2 linked regions of the Lonchura striata genome follow. The protein of the gene in region 1 purifies or fractionates together with the protein of each later gene. This does not show direct contact. Links are inferred from orthologs where the notes say so. Each region holds a gene or a part of one and is shown on either strand. Other genes may lie near its edges.

Region 1 (16,102 bases):
GGTTGCTGCAGGAAGAGAGAGAGCGCATGAGAAGAGCGCAGTGGGGGCCCGGAGGAGGGGACCCGGTGGGCGAGGGGAGGGGAGGGCAGAGGGCCCCCAGGCTGGAGACGGGCTCGTCCCCACGGTGCCCAGCAGTCCCGGCTGTGCCCTCCGCGGGAGCGCGGAGCACAGCCTGCTGCCCATGCGAGGAGAGGCCCCGCCGCTTTACGGCTGTTACTTTTCCCTATGCATCCAGGGCTCGAGTTACTATTTATATCTGACTTTCACGGCAAAGGCGCTACTATCTCCCGCCAGCTAAAGAGCGCAGGGAAAGGAAGGCGGGAGGCTGCTTTCAGCGCGATGCGCAGCCCGGACAGGACCTGCCTCTGGGGCGGGGAGGATCTTCAGCGAGAATAACCCTAAACACCCGGAAACGAGGGGACCCCGAAACTTTCCAATGTCTCGAGCAAGTGCCCGAACCCAAGAAGGGCTGGAATTTACCTGGAAGGCGAGACTCGGGAATCCTCCTTCACGTCCTGGGTGCGTATGAGAGGCAGCACGTCGGCGGCTGCCCCCAGCCCTCGGAGCAAGCCCGCAGGCTTCACGTCCCGCTTGGCTCGGCTTAGTGCCCATTTCGTCCATCTGAAAGAGCACAAGGGAAGAGGAGAGCCTGTTATCGCAAGTCTGCAGGGGCGGGAGCCAAACCAAATAGATTCGAGAGGCGAAAAACTTTGCCAGCGCCGAGATTTTTTTTTCCTTTTTTTTTTTTTTTTTCTTTTTTTTTTTTTTTTTTCCTCCCCGCAAAGTTTCCTGAAAGGGCACGAGGCCTTTAAGGAGCTGAGCAATTCCTGCAGGGAATCCAGTGCCTGTGATCGCTGCCGGAGCCAGGCGCGGGGGCTCGGCAGCTCGACGCGCGGCGCGGGGCGCTGGCAGGAGGGCGCGCTCCGATACTCACTTTCTTTTGAACTCTGTCGCTACGTCCACTCTTGCAGCATCCACCCCGAAGAAAGTCACAGAGCCGAGATAGAGCAGGGCTACGTGAAGTAGTTTCATTCTGGCTGGGCTCCTGCTGGAAGGGAAAGGGCAGAACTATAAGCATGCTTGCTAACAAAAGTCAAGTAAGGACTGTCCTTTATTCCTGGTGATTCCAGAGACCTCCTTCCCTCGCAGAGCCCCCAGGCTACCGGGGACTTTGTGTCTGATATGAACCAGAAGCTAATATTTGCTCAACAACTTATCACAGAGTAAATAACAGAGCCTCCAAAGTTTACGTTTGTCGAGAGTTTAGTTGCAGAGGCGGCTGAAAACCAGCAGGATTTCCAGAATACCCCCAGCGGCTTGCACTAGGATTTAGCAAACCCACAGGATCAGAGAGAGCTGGCTATCGGACGCATCGTTTCCAAACTCCAGCAAGTGTTTTGATGCCGGGAAGTTTATTCCCTGATAGCTCCTCTTCCCAATTCACACGCAGAACCAACTGGTTCTGGATCTTATGTTGTGAACTGCAGCTGATGCCAAGAGCCAGTGCAAGACTCCACAGCATAACTCCAAACTCTTCCAAACAGTCCAAATTTAGTAGAATTTTACTTGCGTTCCACCTCCCCTGAATCTTTTGTTGCTGCCAAGGACGGGGGGAAAAAATAGCTCTTACCTGACAGTGAGGATAATCCACTGAGACAAATGTTTTTGTAGTAGCGATCCGAGCTCGCAGGGTTTCCTGAGAAGAGAGAACTCCTCCTTTGTGTGTATGTGTGTGTGTGTGAAGTAATCACTGCCGAGCTCTGCGCTCCACTGCTCGCTTTTATAGAGCAGCGCTGAGAAGTGGGTGGACCTTGGCGTGGCTGGGCGATCTCTCTTTTGGCACCCCCCACCCCCACATTTCAAGCACTCCTTAAGCATTCTGACCTGGATTGGGGGCAACACGGAGGGGGGAAAAGAGGATTATTGAAAATTGTCTTCAACAACCCCCTTGGTATTTTGTTAATTATAACGGCAGCTTTTAGGATCCTGAGTTATGGCACAACTTGCAAAATCCGATGAGCCCCTCAGCCTGTTTTACTGGGGACAGACATTTTAACCGTCAAAATATAATTATATTTATGCTGTCTGTAGCATAATTTCTCATTCTAGACATCTTAGCTTCAGGTGGGTGAAAGCAGGGGAGTGGAAACCGGATTCAATTAAATCTAAAATCCATGAAAATCAATCAAATATCAAAGTTCCAAAAATAAACCCATATTTGGACAACGTGAATTTATGATGAGTAACTGGAATGACAGCCTTCTTTACATAAGTAATGAGGTGGCAAATCGGGCATCATTAATATTTATGACAACTTGGGTGCATTTTTTATCTAACAAAATGAATTTTATTTACTTGATCGATTCAAGTAGATCACGACTCAAATGGTTTTGGCAGATGAAGGTTAGAGGCCAGTTCTGTGCCTTGGAACAGAGCAAGTGGCATTGCTTTCAGGCAAACACAGGGTCACTGAAGCGCCTGGGGTTACGGGCGCTGGGAAGATCCGCCGTGCCTTGTGCTATTCCCTATCCGCAAACCTCACGGACGTGAGTGCGGTTACTTCCCGGTCAGATAGCTGAACCAGTGCAGGATCGGGGTCTCTTACAGCGTTCTCCTGGCTGGCCAGCAGCAAAACCTTAGTCTGACCACCTTGTTGTTGGGTTTTTTACAGTCTTTAACGCCTTTGCTCCGTGACGCTTCAGAAATGCAGAGGTCCGGCTTCGCAGGGGGTGCTGGAAGCCAGCAGCGGAGGGACCGTGTCTCCGCTTACTTGTCGCAGTGCAAATTCGGCGGGACCGAGGGAAATGCCCCGGGAGATCTGCGCCCTGGGGCGCCAGGGTCCCCTGGCCAGCGAGAGACTTTCGGCGGGAAGGAATGAGCTGGTGAGATGTTCCTCTCGCATCTTGCCCCAAGCAAAGCGTTTCAAAAGTCAGGTGAGTGAGTGTGTGCTCGTGACTGTGCCTTTCTAGATAACCGCGGTATATAACAACACCCCGGAGAGGTATGTGCAAGGGGGATGACGGAAACTTTCCTGTGCACGGCTCACTCGGTCTAAGGCGCTCTCTTCCCTCCCTCCCTCCGCTCCCCAGCAGCGTCCAGACATCTGGAGCTTTCTGTCTCCGGCATCTACCTGTGCGGGACAGGCTGGCCCGGCAGCCGGGGAGGGCCAGCACTGCCTGTCGCTGCTCCCCATGGCACCAGCCGGCCGCCCCTCTGCCCCGAGCCCCCTGCGCGGCTCTCGCGGGGCGAGGCCGGTGCCCCGGGCCGGAGCCGGCCGCCGGGCGAGCCCGGATCCGCGGTCCGCCGCACCTGCCCGGCCGAGCGCGGGGCGGAGGCGGCGGCGGCCCCGGAGCGCCGGCAGCCCGCGGGGCTCGCCCCGTCCCTTCCGCCCGCAGCCCCGCGGAGCCGCAGCCCCGTGCCCGCGCCTCGGACCGGCTCCGGAGCACCGACGGGCAGAGCGAGAGGCTCGGGGGGAAACAGGCAGGAAGAAACAGGCGAATAAGTGGTCTAGAACGGGACCGGATCGTGACCAGAGCTGCATCATCCCGGGATGGCTGGATTTTAGAGACCTCATGAGCCAGCTCAAGCTCGTGCGGGTTCAAGCATTTCCTTGATTAGCAGAAGTTGAAACAGAATCTTTTTTTTTTTTTTTTTCTCGAATGAGAAGGCAGGATTTTATGTGATAAGCATTGCTTTGACTCAAATTAAGTCTCCCATTCCAGTAAAAAAAAAAAAAAAAAAAAAAAAAAAAATCACATATTTCCTCAAATGCTGGAAACCCCCTCATTAAAATCCTTGGCTTAAACGGAAAGTGTATTTTGTATACTCTAAGCCAAACAATGAAGAAAAAAATTCCTAGTGATTTAGGATCATTAATAACAGTAGTAACACAACTCTCATGTGCCTTCCATACTGACTGTAACTATCATCTCAGTGATACAAAATTACTTCAAGTAAATTCATGAGGTGGCAAACTCTGACACATAGATGATCAGTTTGTTGCTGATATGATTTGTGAAAGGGCGTCAGCAGGTAAAGCTTGTTCAAATCTACCACAAAACATCATGTTCTTTGTTCAGATGCTCATTTTGTTCTTTCTATGAACTTGCATTCTCATGCAGTTTGGAAATGAGCAATAGTCACTAAATTGGTACTATGATGTAACAGTGGCCACTTAAAAAAAAAATATACCACAAATAGTTATTTCCTTAAAAAACAGACAAACAAACAAACAATTCCACAGAATGTTCCACAGCAATATCATTCACAAGCTGTGAGTCTGAGGCAATGCCAAGCAGTTCAGCAAGACCACTGTGTGATGTGAAGTGCAGGGTCTCCTGGATGCTGCCTCATCCGTGATGGGAAGCTGGCCTGGAGGAGCAGCCAGCCCCTGTTTACTGCTTATCTTGGGTGTACCATTCAACCTCTTAGTGTTCCCATACAGAAGACTTTACAACAAGTATCTGCTCTGCCAGGGACATGGTGAATATGAGTTGCTGTTAATAGAGAATTTTATTCAGGTTGAGATTGATTAGAAAAGGTCTAAAATCTGTGGGTAGCAACGGGGAATCATTGTGAGACAAATATTCTGTGCTGATTATGGAAGAAAACTGTTGTTTGAAGCCAGTGGAAGTGCCTTTGCATGTTTCACTTTGTTTAAACAAATTGTTCTGAATTCATATGCCATGAGTATGAATAGACTGGATTGTATTTCAGGCTGCATGAAATCAGCAGAAAGATAATACTAATAGGAGAATGGCACCCCCTGAAGGATGTAAAACCTCAATCAAGCTCCAAACAGAAAAACCTTACTGTACTCAGCCAGTTCTCTCAGTGCCAAGAGCACAGCAACAAAGGGGTGATTCCATTTTGGTAGTCTTGTTGGAGGTGCTTTGGTGAGCCTTATGTCTGACAGCTCTGACTATACCAAACAAAGCCTCCAAAGTCAGTGGGGGATGTCTATTGGTAGGGGAAAACCTGGTCAGGGACATGGCTGCCCCCTGTTCTGGCATAGGTTGGGGTGACACTGGCTAGAGACTGCAGGCAGTGTGAATTCCCTGTTTCCTGAAGGAGGAGTGAAATGTAGAAGGTATTGTGGATGTTCACACCTTGTTGTTGGCAAGTGCACAATGTGAGTGTGGCAACATTGTCCCTTGAGTGCTTTCAGGCTCTTGGAGAGGCTGCAGCCTTGCAATTGTTCCCCTGGGTTAAGTACATGAGTAGGGGCTTGTGGAGACCTGTGCCTTGGTGTCCTCTGTGAGCCCCTGCTTCTCCTGTGAGGAGCCAGGCTACCCTGCTGCAAGTGAAGGAATGGTGGTCTGGATGAACATTCAGTTTAACTTTCCATTAGAATTTAGGTGAACAAACACTGTATCTGTTCCACTTCTTCATAAGTCCTAAAAGAATGTAAGATTGCTCTATACTTAAGGGAAGTTGCCCAAAGAAGTTGTGGATGCCACATCCCTGGAAGTGTTTGTGGTGTGGTTGGATGGGTCTGAGCAACCTGGTCTAGTGGAATGTGTCCCTGCCTGTAGCCAGGGGGTGGTTGGAACAGGATGTCTTTAATATCCCTCCTGACCCAAACCATTCTGTGATTCTGTGAATAAATAAGCTCAACTGAACTTTCTATTTCTTATTTAAGACGTGCCACTTCTTATAAACTTTGGCTGTCCTGATCTAGATGGCAGAAGGAGCAAGGCTGTAAAGTGAGCACTATCATTATTGCAAAATCACTAAATAAACATCTTTCTCTTAAACCAGCATTTATTAAGGAAAGGTGTGAGTGATTCTCTCCTGCTAGAGGTGCTGTATTAAAAGGGCAGTGAGATTTTACTATTGAGATTTGTTATTGCATATTGAACCTTTTTATGGATGCAGATACAATAACTCTAAGGTCCTATTTCAGCTCCAAATTAGGTAATTTCTTAGTGTCTTTAAACTTTCGCTCCAGGTTTAGATGTACAAAACATTATCCTTTGTTTTTGTGAACTGTTGTTGTGTCCTACAACCAAAATGCCTATGCACAACTTAACAAAGATATTCCTACCTAACTTCTAGCTAGAAGAAGTGACTGATCCCACAGAGTGCATCCCTTTCTCAAAAAGTATGGTCAATCTTTTTGATGTATATATGACACATTTTTCTTTACTCCTAAACAAGGAAATGTATTAGGATTGGATCTTTACACATGTAATTTTCTTCAAAACAGCTAAATCACGAAGCTGATGACTCCGAGGAGATGTCAACCTCTGCCCTCCGCTGAGAAGGCACAAGTGGGAACACTGCTTGAAGCTTCCTGTCAAATTTGCATCTGGCTTAGCAGCAAGACACTGCATCACCATGTCCCAGCTACGAGGTGTAAGAACGGCGTGTTTGAAGCAGAAATGTCTCTGAGACCACTAAGGACTGTTTGCTGGGTCAGGGTGGATCGTCAGGAGCCAGTTTGCTGCACTTGCACACTCAGCCCAGCATCCACGACTGCTCCTCGCTGGAGCGCAACCCATGTCCTCTGCGCTGGCTCTTCTGTGCTGTCATACGGGACATACATAGACGCTTATCAGAGTGGTTTCTGCAGGCTCCGCCAGCGACCCAAGCGCTGCACTGTCCGCGCGTGTAACCTCAGCATCTCCGCGACTGCTGGCAAAGTCCACTGTGCTTTCGAGGGCCACGGTCCTAAAGGCGCCCGCCTCATCTGCACGTTACAAACAGCACCGCGGCAGCTCCCGGCGCGGCCTCGCTGAGCGCCCCGGCGGCCGCCGCCCGTGCCCGGGCCAGCACGTCCGAGGTCCCGCGGGTCACGCCGAGGCGCCGCTGGGCAGCGCCCGCGGGGAGCAGCGGGGCCGGGCCGGGGACCCGTGCCGACCCTCGGCACCGCCACGGAGCTGAGCGGGGCCGCGGCACGGCTGCCCCCGCACACCCCGGACAAAGCGTGACCGGGACACTTCTGGAAGCGCAATCCCCGATTCCCCAGGCCGGGCTGGCGGGGCCGCCGTTCTCTCGCCGCCGGCTTCCATTTCCGCGGAGGCTCGGCGAGGGCGATGCCCGGCGCCGGCTGCTCCCCGCGGGAGCGGCGAGCGCAGCGCCGCTCAAACGCTTGCGTCTCCCCGGGCACGCGGAGCGCTCCGACCCGCCGCCAGCGTCTGTCGTAAGGGGAACGAGCCCCGCGCCCGCTGCCCCCGGGCGGCCGCCGCGCAGGGGGAGGTTGCCGGGAGACAAAGCCCCGCGCGGGCGGGGCGCGGACCTCCCCCGCCGGGCCCTCCCCGCCCGCGGGGGCTGCGCAGGGAGGCCGCGGCGGCGGCGCGGCGTCCCGGCACGGCGGTCGGGCCGGGGCAGCGGCACTGCGGGACGGCCGGGCCGGGCCGCCCCAGCCCCCGCCCAGCCCCGGGGTCACGGCGAGCGGTCCGGGCGGCGCGCAGGCGCACGGCGTGCCCGCGCCTCCAACATGGCTGAGGTGGTGCCGCTCCTCCTGCGGCGGGCGCGGAGCGGAGGATGCTGAGCCTGCCCCGAGCCGCCGCCGCAGCCGCTGGGGTGGTGAGGCCGAGCCGCGCCCCGCGCAGCCATGGCCAGGCTGGCCGACTACTTCATCGTGGTGGGCTATGACCACGAGAAGACAGGTAGGTGTGGCTGCGCGCAGCGCTGCCCCGCCGCGCCTGGCCGCTCCCCGCGCTCCTGCCCGGCCCCGGCCCCCGCCCGCCTCCGGCCGGGCCGCGGGAGGAGGAGACTGCGGCGCGCACGGGGCGCGCGTCCGGCCGGGGGAGGAGGGGGCGAGCCAAGGGTTAATCCCCCTTGCCCGACGGGGAAGCGGCGGGGCTCCGGCACCGACCGGCCGGGGCAGCCCCGCCCGCCGGGAGCGGCTGCGGCTCCTTCCCGGGAGCGCGGGCAGGTTCAAACGGGGCCCGCGGCCGTGCCGGGCCCGGCGGCCGGAGCCGCGGGGCAGCGCCGGGGCTGCCGCTCCCCACCTGCGTCCCGCCGGCCGCGGCGCGACAGCCGCGCCCCCCGGCAGAACAAAGGCTGCGCTCGGCGAGCGGCGGCTTTGCCCCGTCTGGCTGCGCACCCATCGCCTGTTGAGCGGGGCCGCGGCCCCCGGGGAGCGCCGCACGCCGAATGGGGACGGAATGGGTGCTCTTCCTAAAGCCTCGGGATGCGCCCTGCCTGCTGGGGGGAAAGGGAAGTGGTGTTATCTGCTGGCGTTTTGTGGGCAGAGAGAGAGTGGTTTGTGTTACGTAACTCTCCGTTATGGTACCAGCTTTGTTGCTGCAGAGACCTCAAATGAGTGTTTAAACTGACTGGAAAACGAAGTGATCGTCAACTGGATTGTGTTTGTGCTGCGTATTTCAGAGCGATCCTTTGAATGTATGTTGTTAATAAACAATATTTTAAACAGTCGAATGTTCCCTAATTTATTTGACCATGCATAAACCAAACAACACTCAAGTTTGTTACTCAGAGTAATTCTTTGAAGTAGCAATTGCGTGTCATCTATATCTGTTCATTTGAAAAGTGCAGCTAATAAACTCAGATCATGTTTTTTTTTTTTTAAGAAATACAATTTTTAGAGACATCATTTTATTTGTGGGTTTAAAGATGCAATATCTTACAAAGTTCTGCTAAGATGTCTTGGATTTTACTATTCTGCAATTATCATTCTATTAATTACATCCTGGCTTCCTCTCCCACTCCATTTGATAATAGGTTTGTCCTAATTGTACTGTCAAAATCAAGCCGTGTGAAATAGGAAGTATTTTATTTTAAAAATAAAGACCTTTTGTCTCTCTCCTGTTTGGAACATTTCCCCTGACAAAGTAAAGAGAACCCAAATCAAAACAAGCAACCAGAAAACCCAGATGTGCTTTTAAGAAGACAAAGCAAGTAGGATGCTTAGGGTATGATCAATCTGACAGAGTATGTGAAGTGAAATTACAGATTGCATTGGAAAGCTTTATGTCTGTAAAATGTCTTCATCTGTGGCATTTAAATATGTGTTTAACTTCCTATACATAAATTGTCTCATGAAGGTTGGTAGAATTGCTTGCATGGGTGAAATTGAGCAGATTCAGAAATAAATTCTGAACCTTAATTTAAAAAGGTCATGCCCAGAAAGTAATTGTTTAGACTCTATTATTTAAATTACTTGTTGCTACTTTAATGCTTCGTAAGAAAAATGCTTGAAGGAACAACATTCTATTGAAGACTAGGCATGCATTGTTTTCCAAATTCCTTTACCCCCACATGCAATCCCATCATACATGGAGTACTGACCTTTATTTTTCTTAAAAAACTAGTTTTTTTGATGCACTTATTATGCTTCCTGTTATATGAAAAGCAGGGACAAACATTTCTAGGATTATAGACTAGCTACCCTTGAAACTTTTATATTTTTAAGTATGTTCCTTTTTTTTCTAATTTTTTTTCATCTGCATCTACCTTCTGGCTTGGTTTTAATGTGCTTGATTTGAATGCTGAGTGTAATTACATTTTGCAGTGTTTTCCTTTTCCTTTTTTTCCCAGGCATAATCTGTGGAATAGCTTTGTGTAAACAAGCAAACAAAAATGTTGTACCCTTCCCCCCAACCTGTGTGTCAGCAGCATTTGGGTGATAAACATTTGTGGTTTATAGGGAAGGGTGTTTATAGTAGTGACTGCTCTCCCAGGAAAGCCCCACTGTGTCTTCTGGCTCTCCTCTCACTGCTTTTATGGATTGATTTACATGTGCCAATATCTTACCCCTGAAAATGTGGTAAAGGTGCTGATTTTCTGGCTTTACTCAAAAAACATTTGCTGTAAATATCTAAAATGCAGTGTTAGTGCAGTTTAGGAGCAGATTGGTCGATTTTTCTTGTTTTGGAACAACTTTGTTACTGATGGTACAAGTTTTTATCCAGCGTAGTCTTCGGGGGAAGTGAAGAGTTTTACTGTCCTTGAATAAACCAGAGAGTGTCCTTTGGGAATCAAGCTTTTGAAAGTCCATTCCTATTCTGGTCTAGGCCTGTGTAAATTGATGTTACAGCAGCCCTAGAGCTGCCATTCCTATTGTGTTAAGTCTTCTTTTGGATCCAGCTCACTTTAGGATACTGACCCATCCAAAAGACCTTTCTTGCTGGGTGTGTTACCTGTGTTGCTGCATTGTCCTTGAATGACTTTCCTGCCCATTTTTCAAACAGTGTTGGCTCATCAGGATGTCAGATGAATGCCAGTATTGGCATGAAGGAGGGTCAGGAACGTGCTGACAGACAGATCAATGCACCCTGAATTTAGATCAGCCTAAATGGTCCTAAAGCCTTGGGCACAAAGGTGTTAGTGAGGTGCCTTAGTCTCCTACCTGCTCCAAGGAGACCAAGGGGAGTCCCTGGATCATTTGCCTGCCAGGCAGTTCATTTGTGCTTGGCAAGTTGCACAGAGGCTCTGCCCGGGAGGAGAAGGAGCTTTGCTGTTGACAAGTGTCAGTGGAATTGCAGGCACTTGGGAGTTGGGAAGGCTTTGTGTTGTTGAGGATGACCTGACTCACCCAGCTTTTTCTGTGTTTCAGGTACACTGCTCTGTATTACCACTTGAGTTGCTCGGTCTGTGTTTCTCACCATAAAAGTGAGCTGATCATAGTTTTGATGGCTGTTTTGTATTTTAAGATCCCGTCCTGAGCCACTGCTCAGAACGGCAGCAGCAGTAGCTGCTGGCAGCAGTGTGTGTTAAGTGTCCTGACAGCGTTGGAGAAACCAGATTTATAAATCCCCCAGCTTTACTAAACTCCTTTTTTTTTTTTTTTGTGGGTTTTTTTTTTTTTTTTTTTTTTTTTTTTTTTTGTTCTAACAGTGAAGGCATGAGGGAGGATTTCAGGGACACTTTTTCAGAGTAAAGCAATCAACCTTGGTGTATTTTGCCTTCAGCTGAACCTTGGCTGAGGTAGATAACCACATTTCCCCCCCAGCATATCAGCACAGTATAAAGCTGTTACATAACTGGCTACAAAAGGCACTTAGAGAAGTCTCTGAAAGGAGCAAAGGTGCTACCAAATGTAGGCATTCTGGGTCAACAGCTAGGAGAAATCCCAGGAGGCATTACTGTTCATGCATTTTATTTTTTTCATGGGTTTTGAAGTGTGTTTGATGTGCTTCACCAAAAAATTCTCATTTAATATGTCTGAATAATGGAATGTGGATGGGATTTAGGAAGAACACAGATGTTTGTAAAGATCACAGAAGGGCATGAGAAAATGCCTTTTTTTTTTTTTTTTTTTTTTTTTTTTTTTTTTTTTTTGCTTTGCTGGTATAAGCCCTAATGATAAATTTATCCCTAGAATGTACATCCAGTGATACTTGGAAAAGGTAAAAGAGAGAACATGCTGTGTCTTCCTTAGCTCAGCAGCTGAAAGGTAAGGATAAAGAAGAGGGGATCCAAAGACTGGATTTGATTAATTATCCCATACACCTGTAGCAGCTTTCCTGTAGGATGCTGTTTTGTACCCAGAAGTTAAAGGAGAAAACCTGTGAGGTGGAGCAAGATATTTTCTGTGAGGTTTGGTTGCTCTAAGAGGACAGAGAAGTGCTTTGCTCTTGATTCTGTGTGCAGTTGCAATGTGTAGGACAGAAGGCTTGCAACAGTATAGCAGTTTAATTTGGCTGTTGTCACAACTGATAAATGCTGGTATAACATGTGTAGGCTCTGTTGTGGTTGTTTCTGTTCTGATTTTTATCAACTCCTCTTCAGGGAAGCCTTTATTGTGTAACATAGCTTTGTATCTCAGAGGATTTTGAAACAAGACAAGTGATTGTTGATGGAGTGGGAGAAATTTCTAAATGGAGTTGTCTGATTCTTTTGTTTATTTTCCCGTGAGGAGATTTTGCCTGCGAAGAATATAATATCATGAGGATTTTCTGGTGTATTTGCTGTGTATTCACAGATGGGCATTCCACTGAGCTAGTGTGTGTATAAGGAGTGGATGATTGCTTGATGCCATGACATGCAATCTCTGTAAAACAAAATGTAGAAAAATAAAGGAATAAAGCTGTTACTTCAGTGGCTTTCTTATCTGTGCTGTGGCTTAATTTGATTCAAATGCAATCCAGGGAAATCTCAAAGGGATTAAAAAAGCAACAAAAACTAAATCCTTATTATGGCAGGAGAATTTTTGTAGCTGGGATGAAGCATCAGATGTAGTGCTGGAAGTGGAGCAGCATGCAGGAGTGTGCCTGGCTGCTGCTAGGAGATGGCTGCAGGTGGCTATGGCTGCGTAGGGCATGGCAGCCCAAAGGACTTGCCAACAAATTAGTTGATCAGTCAATGAAATTATGTCTTCCTTGTGCTTTCCTTTTCAAATACAGCAGATTCCACAATACTGTACTGAAACAGAATGAGGAAAAAATATTTCCATTGCATATGGTTTTGTTTGTTTTGATTGTGGTGGTTTTTGTTTCTTTGTTTGGTTTTGTTTTTTTTGTGAGATAAAGCTCTCTTGAAAGTCTGCTTGGAGGACCCCCAGTATTTTTTGGTAGCATGTATTCCTACAGATATTCAAGCAGTTTCTTCTAGTACATAATGTTGACTAAATTATTTCGATTTTGGTTTATGAATTTATCATTTTGGAGAAATCTTAAAATCAGCAGAGATTATGGAGATCTTCTTTCCCTTACACGTCTGTAATGAACGTTTCTAAAGAACTTGGATTTTAGACTCTTTACTCACTCAGTCTTGCCATTATAATATCAACAACAATAAAAATACTTCTTTTTCAGCCTTTCATTTTAAACTGAAGTATTCCTGGAGGCTGATTTTTTTTTTTTTCATTGTAAGCTGTCTTTATTTGTTCTGAAATATGAGGACAAAGATTATGTTCAGGGAAGTAGCATTTCCTATCTTTGTGACTACATTGCAGTCAAGGAACTCTCTCTTCCCTGTTCTGTCCTGGATTAACTTCGTGGATTATCTGACAAAAAGACACTTTTCCTGCAGCCTGTTCATGGAAAACAGTTTGTTATGCAAGCCTGAATAATGTGTAAGCCCTGGCCTTCTATAACCACAATCATATTTTTCAGTGGAGGGACAATGAGACTGACATTTAACTTGTCCAATGTCCCAAACATAACAGTCTTGTCTTGTAACAGTGAGGAATGGAATTATGCTGCTGTGGTAGTTCTCTGCCATCAATTTAAAGTAGCAGCTACCTCCCCAGTTCCTGGTGCTCACAGAGGAGAACCACAGCCACTGTGGAATCATTTGTAAAATGTGTAACAGCAGATTCAGCCTCGATAGCTGTCAGTGAAAGTTGTATCCTGAAATATGTACTGGTGAGTAGGAGCTTTTCCTCTGGTTCATCTCTCCTCTTACTGCTCTTTGCAGTAGCATGAGAATTTCAGACTCCTTGCTTCTATAGTGAAAAAAATTATTTCTAACAACAGAATTATCAGTATTGATGAGATTAATTTTCTTTTGCTTGGTGTTTTGGGAATTGTGTTCCATTTATATGTGTTTGTTGAAATAAATTACTCCTGTGGTGTCAGTGGTATGTTCTGAAGTCGAGGACAATCCAATTAGTGTTGATTGGGATTTGGCAGCTAAATCCCTGCTCATTGAGCCAAGAACATGCTGGTTATTGCTGATCTGCTAGTGACTAGATAGATCCTGATTTCATGTCTCTAATGTTCACAGTTCTCAGTTTTCAGTCTTCTGCAAAATGAATACTATGAAAAAATGCAATAATTGAACAGAGCTTGAATTCTTTGTTTCCTTTTTGGTAGTGTTGTGCTTAAGGTGTCAAAGTAACCACAGAATTTCCACTGAGCTGGATGTGGCTGACGGGCTGTCACTCCTGCAGCCAGAACCAGCACTTGGTGACAGTATTATCTGGAGTTGTGTGTAGCTGTTGTGGAGGAAAGCTGAGATAAAGAAAAAACAAGCTCGTCATAATTCTGGATACAAATTCAGGATAGTTGCATGCAAAACCCCATTGGACCATGGGAGACCTCAGTGGATAAAAAGAGACAAAGGAATGTTACTGGGCTTACAAAATCAATCACTCAGAAAGAAATTCAAGGGGGATAAGTAGAAGGTAGGAATAACGTCCTTATCATGTCATTTTACCATGCTTCATATGTTGTTTCCTCAGATTTAAAACCCCAGAAAATCTATTATCTGATACTTGGATTGATCTTCAGCAAGATAGAAAATACCTTTTCTAAATGTTAGTGTCGGGTTGGGTCTGCTGGAATAGCAGCTGGAAGGAAGATGAGACATTCTGGCAGAGGATTTCTCAGATACTCATGGGTGAAAAGGGATGACAACTCTTCTTTCTGGAGCCTTGACCTCAGTTGTGGAAGGTTCTGGGTTTTGTTGAGCTCCTTTGGCCAGCTGCTGTAGACAGTGTTGGCAGGAGTATGGAGTGGTGTCAGACTCTGGAGTGGGCTGCATGTCCTGGTGGTTTAGGAACCCTTCATAAGACATTGGTCACTCCTCCTGCTTACTGTATTTGACACATTCTGGTACTTTAGAATGTTTTCTGTCTTTTGGGTTTACTCCAAAAGAATCTCTGCCTTATCATCTCTCTCACTTTCTCCTTCATTCTCTTGCTCTCAATATCCATTTAACTCTCCTTATCTACTCTGTGGTTTTCTGAGATGAAAACCACTTGGCCACTCAGTCTGGTTGCTTATGGTTTTCATATTTAAATAAACAAATTCCAATTCATCACACAAGCACCAAAGCCAGGTTTTGTCCCTTCTGTGAATTTTGGGCCTAAAAGTTAGTTTGTTGAATTTTAGTTTAGGTCAAAATAAATCCTTTTCTCCCCAGTCTTATTTCTTGGAAGCAGAAAAAGTATTTGGTATGAAATTTTACTGAAATAATAGAGCTAGAAACAGATGTCAACCATTGAGACTTTATATGATGCATTTAGTTTAAGTTGAAAAATAATTGAAAATAGTTACAGACAGCACCATTAGTGATGCCTGTAGCTGTTAGTTATTTGTGTATCTAAAAAACATCACACTCTTGTCTCTTAGTTTGTTGTAACTGCGCTAGTTAAAGCCCAGGGAACCTTTTAGCTTGACTAGTGTGTTGTTGAAGTCTTCCACAGTTTAAATTTGTGCATTTAGCATGTGTATTTTTGTTTTGGATGAAGAAATGCAGACGCTTGTCCTTTTTCGTGACTATTGTTCTCTGGACTGTAAATCTAATTCTAAATGGCAGTAAGAATATGCTGTATGTGTGACTAACAAAATACTCTAGGCTCAAAAGACAAAATTGTGATCTTGTAATAAATTCAACTGCAATGGAATTTTAATTCTTGAAATATTGTTGAATGGGCATACTGTACTTTTTTAAAAAAAATAGGAAAGCGTTTTTTAATTCTGTTACACAGACTGCTTTTCATAAACATGCAAATTGCAATTGCATAAAAATAGAAGAAAGCCACATGCTTTGTTCCTGCAGAGCTGTTTCTTCTTAATAAATCTGTTTTCCCAGAAAAACACATAGTAGTTTTATGAAGCTCGTGTGATGACTGGGCTGTTACTGGTCCATATTGTTTGTATATGCTATTTTTAATCTAGGTTTAGTAGAAAACATTCTAGTAGAACTTACAAGAGGATTTCCATTTTCTTCTTATAGTGAAGAGAGAAGTAGTAGGTTTGAAATTTTTTAAGAATGTAGAATTTTTAAAAGAAAGTTTCAAAGAAAAATTGGTGATAAAACCAATGTTAAATCCTCTCTAAAACATGGATTTTAACCCACATTTTCTGCCATATTTTTTTGGGTAATTTAACCTATTTAGAGTCTTCCTCTTTTAGGTTGCAAGTTCTTAGAATCTTCAGTCTCTGAGTTTTTTCCTTCAGTGTATTTTGTTCAATGGGCTGCCAGGCAGAATTTGCTTTTTGTGAAGGATCTTAGCCTGGGGCCTCTGCCTGAGCCATAGGTTGTGTCCAGCTGCAGCTGAGGAACAAGTTGGAATTTCCTGTAAAGGGAGGAAAGAGCTGCTGCCTGAGCATTGCCTTTGAGATTCACCCTCCAATCTCTTAGAATTGCAATTATTGAATTATTCTTATTTTATGCCTTTCAGGAGCTGCTTGCTTTTGTGAAATAGGAAGCTAATTAGCATGAGCTTCTCATGATCAGTAAG
Region 2 (16,476 bases), on another chromosome or scaffold:
AAACTTTAATAATTTTGTGTCAAGAACATGAACGTTTTTTTGATCTTGTTCATGTTTGCCTACTATCTCCAGGTGAATGTTAAGGTTCTGGTATGGAGGAGAAAAAAAAGATTATGTGTGAATAATTTGATGATCTAGGTCCTGCAGTGGCTTAAAGTAAAAAAGAAGACAAAGTATGCAACTTGGGTTTTGACAGACTTACCATGTAAATGTAGTTCAGAATATGTCTTGATTATTCAAGTAATGGATGCTTCAACAGTTCTTGTCTAAAAATCAGCAGGTTTTTATAACAGCACCATTTATCAGTTTGGAATTCTTTTCAGATATCTTTGGAACAGCTTTGCAGTATTTCTGTATCTGAGTCTCTCTACCTTGGTGCAGTAACTACTTTTGAAATTATAACAGTGGGTTGCTTTATTGCAAAAGAATTAATGCTGGAGTACAAAATAAGAAAACATGTCTGTTTCCATAAAATACCATGTTTCAGTTAACAGGAGGCTGCTTTGCTTCATTTCAGAGAATAGGCCATGGTGATAAAAATCATGCTGATACAGACAGATCGCCCATCTTTCTCCAGTTTATTGACTGTGTGTGGCAGATGTCTAAACAGGTATGTGGTGTTGTTCTTCAGTAGGTAACAGTGTGAAGAGATTACTGAACTAAAACCCAACATCTTTATTTTTTCTTTTGAAAAAAGTATTTGAAGAGGACAGCATACCCCTCTGCTCTGACCAGTAGTAAAAAAAGAGTGCATTTACCTTGGTGAAAGTGATATACAGGCTGTGGTTATGTTGCTGGATATGGCCCTAGCTGTGCAGGCATGGCTGGTGTTCCTGGATACAGGATTCTCAGAGACATTCTGAGGGATGTTTCACACCCGGCAGAAAGCTTTTACAGGAATTGCACCCAATTGTCTTAATGGAATCTGTTGTTTTGTTTGACCATTTTGTGAAGCTGTCCCTTGAACTGCAAGGACATGTCTTATTTTATCTATGCTTAAAAAGGAAGCTAGGGAGCTTCTGAGTGCTGTGATTTAAACATTTTAATGTCAGTAAGTAATGAAACAAAGCAGTGAACTTAGTCCACTTAGGGCTAAAGGATCGGGACCTTTATTTTCCTGTATGGTGCTGCAATGTAAGAGTGCACTGAAGAGATCTTGTTCTGTCTTGCTAGTAAAAGTACCATTCTGTACTTTATTCTTTTTATAAATTAAAGGTAGGTAGAATGCTTTGAGAAGAGATTTTTCAGTGGCTTGTTTGAGAAAGCTGAACACCTTGTGTCATTAGAACACTTAGTCTGCTATAAAATACATAAAAGTATTACCTAAAAAATTTTTTGTAGAGGTATCCACACTTCTAAACGTTACTTTCAGCATATTCCCCGGCATTTTCCATGTAAACAATGAGTTTGTCTTTCCTGGTTTTAGTTTCCTACAGCCTTTGAATTCAATGAGCAGTTCCTGATTACAATCCTGGATCACTTGTACAGCTGCCGGTTTGGCACTTTCTTGTATAACAGCGAGTTCCTCAGAGAAAAAGAGGTTAGTCAAACCACTGCTTGTGTCATTGCATTGCTGTCTTTAGGTGATTGCAAAATTTTTGGTTGTATTGTATTTGGTTATGGTCCTTGCAGACAGTGATTTTGAACTGGCTTTCTTCATACAGAATACTGCCATGCAGTCACTAAAATACTTGTCAAGCATTGGGTTTGGAATTTTTTAATACAGTAATTTATTATGCCTTTAAGTAAACCAGAAGTGTACTAATTTTAGAATGTAACAATGATGGATTTCTATGATGAATCTTGATTTTATGTCAGTATTTACTGTTCTTATTTTGATTTCATTTTAGAAAGTGACAGAGAAAACTTTATCCTTATGGTCTCTGATAAACAGTGAAAAATCTAAATACACCAATCCTTTTTATAGTAAAGAGCTAAATCGAGCACTCTATCCAGTAGCCAGCATGCGTCATTTAGAGCTCTGGGTTAATTACTACATCAGGTGGAACCCCAGGATTCGGCAACAAGTAAGTGAATTCTCTATAATGTACAGAAAATGCTGTTGGACATTGGAAATAAGGATTTTGTCATAACTGACTTGTAGAGCAGTACCTGTAATCTATTCAGGTCTTTAATATTATATTTGTAAAGATAGAGAAAAAAAGTGTAAGTAATTATTTAGCTGTCTCTTAGCTCATTGAACTTATTTCCCTGCTTAGTAGCAAGTCTTCCTTGAGTTCTTTCTAGCCCTTTTTCTTGGGCACATGTGCAAGGGCATTTTGCTACTAAATCCTGAATGACAATGCTTAGAAATGAGGCTTGCTGATCCCTGAAGAGCTGGGGCATTAGCAACACAAACACATTTGCATTTGCTTGGTCTTTTTCCTTTTGCTGAGAGAGGGTATGAAACAATTTACAAATTAAATTACCTGTTGAGTCATTGAGCCTTTCTCTTCCAAAGCTCTACGAATTGATGGTAAGATTTAATTTTTTTATGTAACATTGATGACCCAGCATTGTTTACACTGTGGATGAAAGCTGTTATTGAAAATTGTACAAGTAGATCAGATTGGAAGTCCAGAAAAGATTTTATCAAATGACACATAGCTCACTTCTGTGGCTTTACTCCATATGGATGGACACTCAGTGTTTGTTACAGTCCTGCTGGAAATCTCAGCCATGTGGCACATAAAGATTTTATATAGAGACTTTTTTGTCCTTTTTAACAGCTTGTGGAGATTTGAGTAGGAGAAGATAGAGGAGCAATTTGTTTGACAGAAGCACTCTTCACAGTCCAGCCCTTGGAATGAGTCAGTAGTTTTCAAGCAATACACTTCCTTTTCCACAGCTGATCTCCTGTATTATTTACAGCACTTTAGAGGCTTCAGGAAAGCCTTGGTAGTTTGCTATGGCTTTTTACAAGTACATTGCCTATTGGAATTGAAAGTCATGGTCTTAAAGCTTTTGTTGCTTGCTGTGAAAGATGAGTATGTTTTGCAAAAAGTGAATGTAAAGATTTATTTTAGAAAGTGAAGGATTATAAGACATGCAAATTAGCTGTAGATCTACTTAAAAATGCAGTTTGCCATTATTCAGGAAAGCTTTTTGGCAGAAGTTTCTCCTTAGAAATGCAAACCCAAGTGACGGTATTCCTATAGCACTACGCTACTACTGGTCCCTAATTTTCACCATTGTTGTACACAAAATGCAACTTTTTTTTCTGCATGTGAAATTTATTGTAAAATTATTTCATCTTTTGTTAAGCAACTGAATAATGAACATGTGGGTTGAACCATTTTTTTATTACCTTTCTTAATGCCATTCCTTAGAATTATGTTCTGCTAGCAAAACTATAATCCTACATCACCAGTCATCTTAGTATTCAGCATTGATCCAGTTTCCATAGTTGCCTCAGCATTCATCTTGATCCTGAGATGGGTGCATAGTGAGTGGTGCATCTCAGAGTGCTGGTTCAACTGGTTTTGAACTGGTGAGGTGAGGTGTTCAAGCATTTGCTGCTGAAACTCCATTGCTGATAGCTTTGAATTACAGGCAGTTAACTGCGAAACAACTTCTAGACAGGTATATTCAGCTGAAGGTAACTTTAGGCTCTCTCTCTCTGCTTTGGACATTTGTAATAGTTCTTTTCCATTTGTTTCATTAGTCTGAAAAGGAAGTTAAGTTCAAAGTGGAAACAGTTAAAAGGCTTTTTCTGAGTAATCTCCTGAAAGCCAGAGCAGTTGATTCTAAACACGTGCAAGTTTACTTAGAGAACTCACTAATAAAAATTTTTATTTCACTTGTTTATTTACACTAAGTTGTAAATTAACTATTAAAAACTCAAGTCAATTTAATCAGTGAGAGAAGTTATTTAAGCTGAAGACACGGATCTCAATCTGATCAATGTAGCTAAAATAATCAGGCTACTGTTTTAGGGAAGATGCTGAGACATTTGGCTTCTGGACTCTAAAACCTTTTAGTAAATCAAGAAAAAATCTTTGGTCAAGGTATACAAGTAACTATCTTGCACACAATATTAGCTAACAAGAAAATAAAATCTATATGTTCCAGCTGATTTTACTGAGTTGGGACAAACAATTTTGTGCAAAGATGGACTTTGGGGGAGGCAGCTGGAAGGCCGAGGCCTCTCAGGTTACAGCAATGGGTATTTCTGTTTAGCTCTGACTGCTACACCTGCCAGGAAGCCCTGGCTACTCGAGCAGCCTGTGTGCAAGTAGTTGGAGTGAAGTGCTAAGACTAACGTGGATCTCTTCCTAGCAGCCAAACCCCGTGGAGCAGCGCTACATGGAGCTCCTTGCGTTGCGTGATGATTATATCAGGAGACTTGAAGAGCTTCAGATCACAAATAATTCTAAGATATCCAATTCATCAGCCTCATCAACATCTCCCTCACAAATGGTGTCCCAAGTACAAACACATTTTTGAAGAAAATGTTGGCTTCTTTCTATACTGTAACAGCAAGTGGTGCTTAACATAGATCTATAGCATAAAGAGGAATATTCTAATGCCTTACATTAGACTGTCCTAACACAAATTATTTTAGACTGTCTTCATTTGAGGAGGACTTCAAAACAAACAAACCCAACTCTTTGATTATGTGCCTTTCAGAACCTGTGGACTGGGAACATTATTAATCAGCTCATAGCCATGGAGGGCTTTGAGTTATTTTGGTAGGTCTGGTACAATTGAAATTAAATTGATTTATTGTTTTCATAAGAATGCTTTAATTTATTACATTTTAGTAAGGAAATTCATGCTCAGTCTTACATGTCATGAATAAACATAATAATGGTAATAGGAATATTGATGTTGTATAAAATTAGGTATATCTTTATTCCTGTTAGGAATACATTCATGATGTTCAGGAGAGAAAAATAAATTTGCAAGGTGTCAGAGAAAAATGTTGAAACTTTGATTACCCAAAAATTCCAGATTTTCCTTTTTTTAAATAAACAGAAATATGGAAGGCATTTCACTGATATGCTTCTAAATAAAAAATTCAAATAGCTCAGTAGATAGCAAAATAAAATGAGCTTTTTATTGTAAATTGATTTTAGTTTTTTTAAAAACAAATTAAAGTTGTACTGGTTTCTGAGAAGTTCTGTTTGGACTAGCTGTTCAGCACTAAAGTACAGTACAAATTATCACTATCTTGGAATATTACAGAATTAAATGTTTCCAAAAGGTTTATAAAATGAAAAACAGAACCACAGAGACATTTCTTAAATATCCAGCAATAGCCATAGTGTTAAAGCTTCTGTTTGTCTTCTAAACATAAATGTGCCTGTTCCAAGGAGCTTTTATACCAAAGTAGACAAAAATTATCAGTCATAAATAATTTTGAAAACTTGTACATTTATACTTTACTGTTTAACTCCTGTTCAGCAAATTCATTCTAAAGTATTTAAGGGGCTTCAGTATCCAAGTTTTGCATATAGTGTGTGCACTTATATTGAACATTCAAGTGAGTTCTAGTATCAAGCCTGCCTTTCAGAGACTTTTTATAAATCTTTAATTTGTTCCTTTCAGGTAATTTTTAAATAGTTGCAAGCATTTCTTATGACAGTACAAACTTTGCTGTTGATATTTAATTAAAATTTTGCATATTCTCAGAAGTTTAATGATATTCAAGCAATCCAGGAAATACTACAAATCAGAATCTGTAAAGGACTCTAATATTGTTATTTTAAAGGAAATATTTTGATGCTTGAGGCTTCTGTCATTGTAAATTATTGTACATGTGGTGAGTTTTGATCTGCAAGATATAATAGGATTATATATAAATTAAGTTTTGTGTAAGTGTATATAATATAGTTTATTAGAAATTCTGCAAGTTTATAAAGTGTAAATATTTTGTATATGAAAACTAAATCTAAAGGTATAGTTGGATAAAGTAAGTCAAAATTTAGAGGACATTGAATATTTAAAACAGTATTTTTTTCAAAGGAATAAAAATATACCGCCTCTGGATTTAATTCAGTATATGCACTGAGTTGTACTATGTTTTCAGGGAAGTTCAGAGCATACAACATGTGTGTTCTAAATATGCAGAATTATATGACTTTTGTCCTCTAAATGTCATTCTCCCATCTATGCTCTCCAGTATGTGTATCCAAAATAACAATGTTGTCCCCCAATCATGACTTGCTAAGATTCATTGCATCAGATAAATGAAGAAGGATACTTAGTTGTCCATGATGCATTTTACATTTTGAAAGCTATGCATACTCTGGTATATTTGCCTTCTACTTACTTGTGGTTTATTTAAAGAAAAAAGCGCTATTTTTATTAGAATATTTAAAATTTCTGTATTTGAGTTTAACATATTGGTGACATCTCTGAGCGGTGTGAAAAAGTTCTGAAAATCTAATAGTTTTTACTGTGTAAACACTACATGATAACCTATTACATTTGGGAAAGTAATGTAATGGAAAGGATCTTTTTGCACTTACTTTATTACGTATTACTTTGTTCATATTGCTCTTCAGCCGAATTTGTCTTTAAAGCTCTCTAACATGGCTCTGTGCGGGCTTGGAATTTTTCAAGTCAGCAAATAAGATACATGTTTTAATTGTTTTTACATATGAGACCAACATAAAGGTGATTTTAATCCAGTATGTTCTGGAAAATACTACTTGTGAATGTAGGCATACAAACTTACCAATGCTAGCAGAACATCTCTCTCCTTCCCCTGTAACTGGGTGTTCTGGGCTGTTGTTCTGCACAGACCTCCCGTCCTCTGTGCACGCTCATCCCTGCCAGGAGCACACCCGGGGAAGCTTCTGAGGTCGTGATGAAACTTGCAGGCGCTGAGTGCCTTTTCTAGGAGGGGTGAAAAAGCAGAGCTGGGGTGTCATCATCACCAGCAATGAATGCCCGATATCCCGTAAGAAATGTCAGTCTTGGAATGCTAGTTTAGGTTTTTTGTATTCTTCCTTCCACGGACATGAGAAGAATAAGCTAAGCTAAATGGGTTTCTGTTACTTATTTAGAAAGGTTTTTGTTGAATGCCTTCTTTATTTGCTCATGCCTTACCCTTCCCCCCAGCATCAGTTACGGCTGTACCCAAGACGTGGCGTGTGTGCTACCTCCTTTTGATGTATTGTTAACCTCTGCCTTGAGTTCAGGTGTTGTGTCGCAGCGAGCATTCTGTCATGCATGAGAACACGCGCTCGGTAACAGCGCAGGATCTCCTCAGTGCTGCCTTCCTCACTACCCGTGTGGGCCGCTCTCCGTGGATGCCGCGGGACTGCTCTGCAGCCGGGCCCTGTGTGCCGGGCCTTGGGCGAACATCCTCCGTCTGCCGTGTATGTGCGGGGAGGGGACAATAAAGATGTCAGTGCTGAACCCCGTGCCTCCAGCAGCCCTTTTCGCGGCGCGTCTCCGTGCTGGGCGGGACGGGCGGGCGGGAGCTGCCGGCCCTCGCCCGGCCCGGCCCGCCCGCCCTCGCGGGAGGCGCGGGGGCCTCTGGGAAGGCGCCGCCGCCGCTGACAGCGCTCGGCGCTGCCGGGGCCGCGGCGGGCCGGGCTGTGGCGGGAGGGCCGGGCTGTGGCGGGCGGGCGGGAGGGCGCCGCCATCCCCGCGGCGCGGCCGGAGCCATGGAGCGGGCGGCGGCGGCGGGGCCGGCGGTGGAGGGCGGCGGCGCCAGCCGGCGAGCCGTGCGGGCGGGGGGCGCCGCGGCGGCGGGCGCGGGGTCGCGGCAGCCCAGCACCGAGACGCTGGACAGGTGAGCGGGGCCGGCGGCCGGGGACGGCCCCGGCGGAGCGGGCGGCGGGAGAGCGGGCGGCGCGGCCTGCGGGGCCGGCCGGGGCAGGCGGCGGGCGCCCCTCGGCCCGAGCCTCGGCCGAGCGCGGTCCCCCGGCCTCGGGGCGGCCTCCCGGACCCCTCCGGCCGAGCAGCTGGGGCTGCAGGCGGGGACCCGGCCGTGTCAGAGATTCCTCCTGCGCTTGCCGTGTGCCGGCGGTGCCGCCGCCTCGGCCGAGGCTGAGGCGGCCGCGGGGCTCTGGCCCGGGGCTGTGGCAGCGTCCTGCAAACCTGAGCCGCGACCGGGGGCTGAGCTCCGCGGGTTTTCAGGCTCTTCCTCGTTGGTTTGCGGTTTTTTTTCCCGTGCGTATATTTAATCTGCAGAGGGGCACCGCTAATCTGTCCCCAGGCGCCGCTGTGCCTCTCAGTATGCAGTGTGTCCCGGAATGCTGTCAGTGTGTGCCCTGTGCCCTGGTGTGTGTGTGTGTCTGTGTGTCAGTGTGTGCCCTGTGCCCTGGTGTGTGTGTGTGTGTCAGTGTGTGCCCTGTGTCCTGGTGTATGTGTGTCAGTGTGTGCTCTGTGCCCTGGTGTGTGTGTGTGTGTGTCAGTGTGTGCTCTGTGCCCTGGTGTGTGTCAGTGTGTGCTCTGTGTCCCTGGTGTGTGTGTGTGTCAGTGTGTGCTCTGTGTCCTGGTGTATGTGTGTCAGTGTGTGCTCTGTGTCCTGGTGTGTGTGTGTCAGTGTGTGCTCTGTGTCCCTGGTGTGTGTGTGTCTGTGTGTCAGTGTGTGCGCTGTGCCCTGGTGTGTGTGTGTCAGTGTGTGCTCTGTGTCCCTGGTGTGTGTGTGTGTCAGTGTGTGCACTGTGCCGTGGTGTGTGTCTGTGTGTCCGGGTGTGCACTGTGCCCTGGTGTGTGTCTGTGTGTCCGGGTGTGCACTGTGCCCTGGTGTGTGTCTGTGTGTCAGTGTGTGCACTGTGCCCTGGTGTGTGTCTTTAAGGGTGTGTGGTGGGTCCACAGGGTCTCACCAGGGCGGTGCCAAGTGGGACCACATCTCCTCTGGCAGCCACTGGCAGAGACATTACTTCACTCAGAAGTTTTCAGCTGAAGGTGGGCTACAGAACTGAGCTTAAAAATACTTTAACATGGAATACAAGTGAATGGAAATCTCACCTTGATGAAAACTGAACAAAAAAGAATATTTTAAATCAGTGCTAGGTTCCAGTCTCTGTATTCTCTCTTTTTTCTCTTAGTAGAAATCTGGTGGTTTACATCATTCTAGTGAGGATGGAAATCAAATGTCCATTTTCTGTCATAAAAGTATACCCCTTTGTATTCCTTATTAATGCACTTCCTTATCCTAATTCTCATTTTCCTTTTTTCTGATCTTGCTCTTTCCTGAGCCAGTTTTATGTCCATTTGTCATAGAGTTCACTTATTTGCCAGTACGGTTGTGGCAGGCCAGGCTAATGTGTGTGACTGCAAATGAGACAATGCAAAGGCAGTCAGTGCTGCTGTGTGTCCCACTGGTGCATAGGAGAAGGCACACTGGTGTGATCAGTGTTCTGTGGAACACTGACACGTCCCCTGGTCTCAGGGGATGGGCCTGCATTCATATTCGTTTTCCTGCTGTTATTAGCTCTGTTGATGTAGTGATTCTTTGTGAAGATAAGCCATAGAAAAATAAATCCCCTTCTTAATTAACAAGTGAGTGCTTATTTGAAAACAAACTTAGGCAAGCCCTGGAAGAGCTACACTGGAGATTAAAGAGATGTGAAAGAAGGAGAAATAAATGAGATAAGAAAAGGGTTTCTGTAGGATTTAGGTGTTGGACTCTTTTGCAGAACTTAAGTGAAGAGTTCTCTAAATCTGGGTTGAGGTTCAGCACTAGCCTGAGAGTTGTCTTTGTTGTTCAAGCAGGACTATCATAGATGTGTTTAGTTGCAAAACAAGATTGTGAGATTTAGTTTTGTGTAGAATGTGAACGTGGGGAGAAAGCTATTAAAATTAATCAGAAAAGTTTTGAAAGATCTTCCATTTCAGGTGTGACGTTGTTGCCTGGATCTGTGCCTTACACCTAGCTATAGTGGCAGAGTTAACATAAGGAAAAACCTCTTTTTCAGTAGGAATTGGTCATCCAAGGCTGTTAACCCAATCTCTTAATGTCTGAGGTGTGGTGCACCTGCTGGGTGCTGGGTATATATAAGTATATTCACTTCAGTGTCATGGAGCATTCATAGCATACAAAGGTAGTTTATGAATTAACTAAAACAAACAAAATTTTTTTTCTTTCTGTATTTGACTACTGAATAAGCATTCAATCTGTAGGAAAGCACAGCTGAATGGTTTGAAGAAAAGTGGCAGTTATCTAAGATAGTGTCTGAAGCTGCAGTAACACTCAGGGAACAGTTCCCTCTGGCATTCCCAGTTTTTCCTTGGATACCAGTGAGTGTTGCAGCAGACCTAGTACACTTAAGACTGTCATTGGTTCTCCCTGTCAGTACTGCATTACTTGAGAGCAGCACTGGTTCAGGGGGCTGTTCTGAAATTGCATCACCTGGGCTTTGGTGCATTTCAGATGCTTTGGGGTTCCTGTAAACACTCTGTGCTGTACAATTCAGTGCTGTGATATGTAAAAGCCCAGCCTGAAGATTATCCAGGGTTATTTCATAAATTGGAAAAAACTGCAGTTAACTAGAAGTTGCCCTTTAAAAAACATGTATTTTCAACATTTAATATAGAATACAATATTAGCATAGTTTAAAATTTTTAATACTAGCATGAAGTAATTAAATTCTGAGGATTTACTGAATGACCAGGACATATTCATAAGGACAGTATAAGGAGTTTCCTATTACTTGGCCAAACTCTTTTCGTGGATGGCTTTAAGAAAAAAGCATGTGAATGGTGAAAATTACACTGGATAAGAAACAGAACATTTTCTATGCTCTTAGGACCCTAACCTCACTTTTAACCCCCTGACAGCTCTGTGTCTCTGACATGATCTAGTAAAATTCTTTTACATAATTTGATCAATAAAACAGTTGTATTCTGCCCACAAGGTAAACTAAGTTTTATGATGTTAGTGATAATTTACAGTGTTGCTTTCTGGATCTGTGCTGTTCAAAATACACATTTTAAATTACTGCTAAATAATTTGAAATTTCTGGTTTTGTAGCCCGACTGGATCCCACGTGGAATGGTGTAAACAGCTGATAGCTGCAACCATTTCGAGTCAGATTTCAGGGTCTGTCCCATCAGAGAGTGTGTCCAGAGACTACAGGGTAAGTGACTTGAGGAATGCATTGATAGTTTTAAGATACAAGAGTGGAAGATGGGGAAAGTCCTTTCTATCTTGATTAGCCAATGGTAAGTACTTGAGTGATCACTGAGTATTTCAGAACTAGAAACATCTCATTATGAATTGGAGTCTCTTGAATTTGCTTCCTGTTTTCCTCCATATTTATAATAGTGCCATTGAAGTCTACAGAATAAAAATTAAGAGAGAAGTGAAAGGAAATTTTAAAAGTCAATGTTTTGAATAAAACATCATAAGTGAGTTGTCTTTTCTTTTGATTACTATGTAAAATAATTAGTAAAGTAGATTATAGTTAAAGGTTGAAATGGTTTCTAGTGTGTGTTATTCAGAGTACAGAATTGAACTCCTCAGATTCCACAAAAAATAAATGAATGTCCTAGTTACTATGCAGGGAACATAATTGAGTCTGATTTTTATGGGGTTTCTCTAGAGACACAGAATTTAACATCAAACAAACAAGTCTCCTTTTTCATTCCTTTCCAGCAACATTTTTAACATTTTTGTCACCAAGGTAATGACTGCACAGTGTGGTTTCTCAGAGTTACACTGTGCTTTTGTGCCCCTGTTCTTTCACACTGACTGCCTGTTCCCTTCATGCAGCCACTCAGCTCAGCTGTCAAGAATGGACCATGGGCAGTTTTTCTCCTCTCACAATGTGACAAAAGTTACCCATGTTTCAATTCCCTTTAAGAAGCCCAACTTGCTGCTGTCTAGATCCTTTTTTCTTCCTAGATATGTAACAGTTTTATTGTCTTCATAGAGAGTGACCACAGGAAGGTTTTTATCTCTTTTTTTGTTTCCTTTTAACTAGATTTTAATTCACATATGCTCTGTGATTACAAAGTATGTTGTCTGGAAACAGCATATTTTAGATTGAGTGACAGCAGGTAAGATTCAGCCTGAGTCTGAGATGAGTCCAAAAAATGTTTTTGGCTGTAGTGTGTTTAAAGTTCAACCTCAGCAGAGTTTCACACTGTTGGCACAGTCAGCAGTTTGTAAAGAGTAGATCTCCCATACTACAGCAGCTGAATTGCAAATGCTTCCTCCAGGTCAAGGCCATCTTTTTTGGTAAAACACTGTGAGAAACCTTACATTTCATCTGTTGATGATGTATTTGCCAAGGGTTTCATTTCAGTAAAACCCATGTGTATAAGCTTGGTGTTCAGTTTATCTCTGAGTAAAATTCATTCCTCTGGAATGAAGAGCACTATTCAATCTTGAGTAACTTCCATCTCTATACCAAACTCATCTCAGGTATTATTTAACAGGAATAAATCTTTTAAGGCCTAATTAAAATTCTACTTCATTCTCTATCTCTGAGAAATGGAAGAAAAGGATTTAAGCCTGATTATTAAATTAAGAATTTTTGTGGATAAATTGTATTTGGCATCATCTCATTGCTGTGATTTGAAATCCCATATTTGTATATAACATGATGGAATTTTTTATAGTTGCTTACTCAGTACCACTAACAGGTTGTGTTCATTCATTATTGCTATGGAATCCAGACACGAAAAGACAATGCCCATATGATAGCTCAGTTTTCCTTTGAGACATCTTTCTCTTTTGATGTGCTTTCTTGGGTCTTCATTACCTTTGGTTACCTCAAATTGCTGCATTTAGAGACTTACAACTCAGAGCCTTCAGATCGGGCCAGATGGGTTTGTTTTCTTCTGGAGCTGGTCAGGCAGTTCTGTTAGTTTGTGCTGGATTTACCAGGAACTCGTTGCTTTATTCTCTCTTTTTTTGTTGTTTAAATTAATATGCTTGGAAAACCAGGTAAATATATTGATTCTTGTGCCTAACAGCATTACTTCATGTTACTCTTATGTGATTTACCTTACCAGGGAGGAGGGAAGCAAAGGGGCAGCTAATGGAGTGGTCAAAACTGGAGAGCACTGGAGGAGCTCTTGCTTGCTAAGCTCTACAGGAACAGTGATCTCAATCTGAGTTGAGCTCTGCTTTGTGTGTCTTTTCTGACACATGCTCTGCCTGCAGAGTGTTCTTGAATGAGGGGCTCATATAAATGAAAATGGCTCAGATTGCTAACCACAAACACCTTCAGAAGTTGAGAAGAATTGTCTTTTTCTGAAAGGTCGGGTGCCTCTCCTTCATGGTTGTTAGTGCAGGCTTATTGTCTTCCACCTAGAAGGATTACCAGGCTCTTTCTTCTCTTTTAACAATAGCACAGTGTAGCAGGATAAGAGGGTGATTAGGAATGAATGTTTTCAAAGAGCTTGGAATTTGTTGCATCACTAAAATTAAGTGTCTGAGATTTTTTTTTAGACCAAAACAATTCTGCAAATGAGAGTTACTAGTTCTGCATAGTTTTGCTTTGTTCTTTCAAAGTCCAGCTATAATTAAAATGTTTGGGAGTCGAATTCTTTTGAAAATCTGATGAAATAAGATGTAGTATCTTTAACAAATCAAATCTATGTGTTTCATTGGATGCTATTTTATATTTTAACTAACAGGTGTACAGGAGGCCAGTTATACGGGTAAGATTACCTTTGGCTAGCAGTGAACAGCCTCCTACCTGTGTGTCTCTTGTGCTGTGTGAGATCTTGGTGTGTCAAGCATTTTTTACCTCATTAGTGGGTTTTATGAACCAGTCAGGCCATTTTGCTATGCAGTGCTAGAGCTTCTTTGCCACAAAAGTGCTTTATATACTTTACAATGTTTTCATGAGCAATGAAAGTCAGTATGTAAGAGAGCAATATTTTAAAATTACGTTATGAATGTGCAATACTAACTTCAGTTTTGTTACATTAATTTTGACAAAATGGATGCTTGCAGTTCAGGTTTACGTGCTTCAGACTGCAGAGTACTGTGTTAGCAGCTCTAACATGTCTGTGCTAAAGAATACCAGTGATAAAAGCATTATGTCTGTGTCTGTCCTATTTAAGTAAGTTCCAAATTCATGCTTGCCTTTGTACTTGTTTTAATTTAGTTTTTACCAAGCTGTGATAGGATTGAAAGTTAGGTTTAAGTTAGGCACTAGTGCAATGACATACATCTTTTTAATTATAATTTTGAGTCTAGGAGTTGCCCACTGTTTATTGAAGATTAAAAAGGGCATGCTTTGTTTTCTTGCCCCTCTCTCTTAGTAACATTTATGGAGTGAGAAATGATCTGGATAGTGTTCTGACATTGTTCATGAAATGCGTCCAACACTTCTATTTCAACAAAGACCTCTTGTTCAGTCTGAAACCAAGAGATGAAGTCTGAATGGTTTCTTTTTCTCATCTCTTGTTTACCTATTTTAAAATGATGTGTTTAGTCCAATCATACAAATCCACAAATTGATCTTAGGTTTTCTTTTGAATAGATAGCATTTCAAATAATTACTCTGAGTAACAAAAACTGGTTTTGTTCAGTTGTTCCCACTTCTATGTAAAGGCTTTGATATTTAAACGGTCTGCTCTGCTGCTTTTGTCTTCCATATATTTAAATTTTTTTTGGTGTATTCGCACATTGTCCTGCTGGTTTTCTTCCAGAGATCACAATGTCTACTTTTCTTCAGTTTCAGAAACAACATAATTATGACCTGAAATTTAAGTAATTTCTAGATGGCAGAATTCTACCCATACCTAAATGTTAGTGACATTATAACTTTATAACTTGAAAAGGTTTTTTAATTACTTACAACTTTTTTTAACGCATGTAGAGTTCAAATTATCTGAAGATATCTGAAGTTTTCCTTCTAAACTGTTTCTTGAGGGTTCTGAAGAAATACTGTAAAAATTAACTTCTAACAAACACTTGTAAATATAGACTGAAGCTGGTTTTACAGTCTGACCAAGTGAGAAGTTCTTTGCATTTGAACTGGGAGTAATAGACTGTCATGAGTACAGCTTCTCTCCAGTTGTTAAAGAAAGAAGACGGAAGAACATTTTTGGCTGAACATGTTAAAATAATTCTTTCAGCTGACCCGATGACATTTGTGCTTCTCTCTAGTGTGCAAAAGGACCTTATGTTTATTAAAGAAATTGAACTAATGTTCAGGATTTGCTGCCAATGATGCAAAAATAAATTACCATGAAAATGTGAATTGTTTGCATATTTTGCTATGAATAGTAATTTTAGATTCTGTAAAGTTACTGGCCAAGTTTCAAACAACAACATAGAAGTTACTAAAAAGATATGTAAAACTGTAAGATTGAGAGTTCAGTTACAACATGTTTTACACAGCAAAGCTTTTTTAAGTGTCTAGGTACTTCTATTTGATGTCGACCTATTTTTTTCTGTGAAAGATTGCATGAGTTTTCCATAATGCTGCCATTGCAAGTTGTACTCAATTTCTTCTATTGATAAGCATGTTGCATACTGAAATTAATTTTCTTCATTGTAAGGTTATTTGTCTTAAAAAGACAGTACATACTTTTATGTTCTTATCTACCAGCACTGACTCTTTTGTGAAAAAGGGAGTAAATTTTTCATTTTGTGTTGTGCCAAGTAGCATTCAAAGGATGGTGCTAATAGCTTGGATTCCCTTCTGTGGAAAGTAGTTTGTGCCAGGAGTGGAAGATTTTGGAAAGCTAAACTGGAGTTAAAGTATATGCTGTCTTTTTAAGGAAATTTTAAAAAGGGAAACAAAAAAAGATAAGATTCTGTCCTTTCACCTGTTGTCTGCAATTTTTTTGCTGTTACTTCTCTCTTGCCCTACTGCTGCCTCATGCAAAGCAGGAGATTCAGGATGGACACAATGGCTATCATTCTGAAGCAGAACCTGATCAGGTGGCAAGTTTTACTCCTCTTTCATTCATTAACTATGTAGCAAGGTACTATAAAGGTACTATAGTACTCATACAGTGCATACAAATCTTACTTTTCTCTCTCAAGAAAAGCCCTAGAAAGCATTTAGTGTGTAACTGGCTATGTGCCAGGCAGAGTTTACTTGTAAGGTCATGTAGTCTAAAATATAATACTGAACATAAGCCCCATCTAACTGAGCACATCCACCCTCAATTTGTAAGCACTGGCCATTTCTCTGCACATTATTTTTTGTGATTGGGTGCTGAATGTAAAATTCCAAAATTTTCCAAAGAAATCTGAAGCCAGAGATCAGCTGAAATATTTTTAGAAATTATTTATTAGTGAGAGCTTGGGATAGTGTGTGTGTAAGCAGAGAGATCCTGCCTTTTATTCCTGTGTGGGTCAGAGCTGCAATAGAAGGGGAGGTTTTGTTGTTGTAACAAGTTACCCCATGATATTTATTCAGGATGTAAAAAATTGAGACCCAAATATCTCATCATTTTGACCTGAGACAGATCACTTTCTTACATGGTCCTTAAAAGGCTCACAAACTGTTTTATGCTTTATTACAATCTTTAGTACATTGTAAATCTTAGCTGCCAACAAAGGACCTTAACAATCCATCGTGTATCATTCAGCAATGA

What was found.
Region 2: the proteins of SBF2 (region 1) and MTMR1 purify together in Homo sapiens (affinity purification with mass spectrometry; 3 studies listed by BioGRID and IntAct, with this or other methods). This does not show direct contact. The link is inferred for Lonchura striata from reciprocal best matches to the Homo sapiens genes SBF2 and MTMR1.

Annotation. Positions count from the first base shown.
Region 1 is NC_134608.1:51,958,392-51,974,493, reverse strand, and holds the start of SBF2 (myotubularin-related protein 13), read left to right. Parts: upstream 1-7,409; 5' UTR 7,410-7,558; coding exon 7,559-7,613; intron 7,614-16,102. Other genes in the region: ADM (pro-adrenomedullin), read right to left, coding at 1-5, 481-621, 935-1,032. UniProt on the Homo sapiens protein: Guanine nucleotide exchange factor (GEF) which activates RAB21 and possibly RAB28. Promotes the exchange of GDP to GTP, converting inactive GDP-bound Rab proteins into their active GTP-bound form.
Region 2 is NC_134616.1:12,503,400-12,519,875, reverse strand, and holds the start of MTMR1 (phosphatidylinositol-3-phosphate phosphatase MTMR1), read left to right. Parts: upstream 1-7,645; 5' UTR 7,646-7,747; intron 7,748-10,936; 5' UTR 10,937-11,042; intron 11,043-13,551; 5' UTR 13,552-13,575; intron 13,576-15,760; exon of another isoform or gene 15,761-15,817; intron 15,818-16,476. Other genes in the region: MTM1 (myotubularin), read left to right, coding at 518-610, 1,427-1,540, 1,851-2,027, 4,279-4,446. UniProt on the Homo sapiens protein: Lipid phosphatase that specifically dephosphorylates the D-3 position of phosphatidylinositol 3-phosphate, generating phosphatidylinositol. Could also dephosphorylate phosphatidylinositol 3,5-bisphosphate to produce phosphatidylinositol 5-phosphate.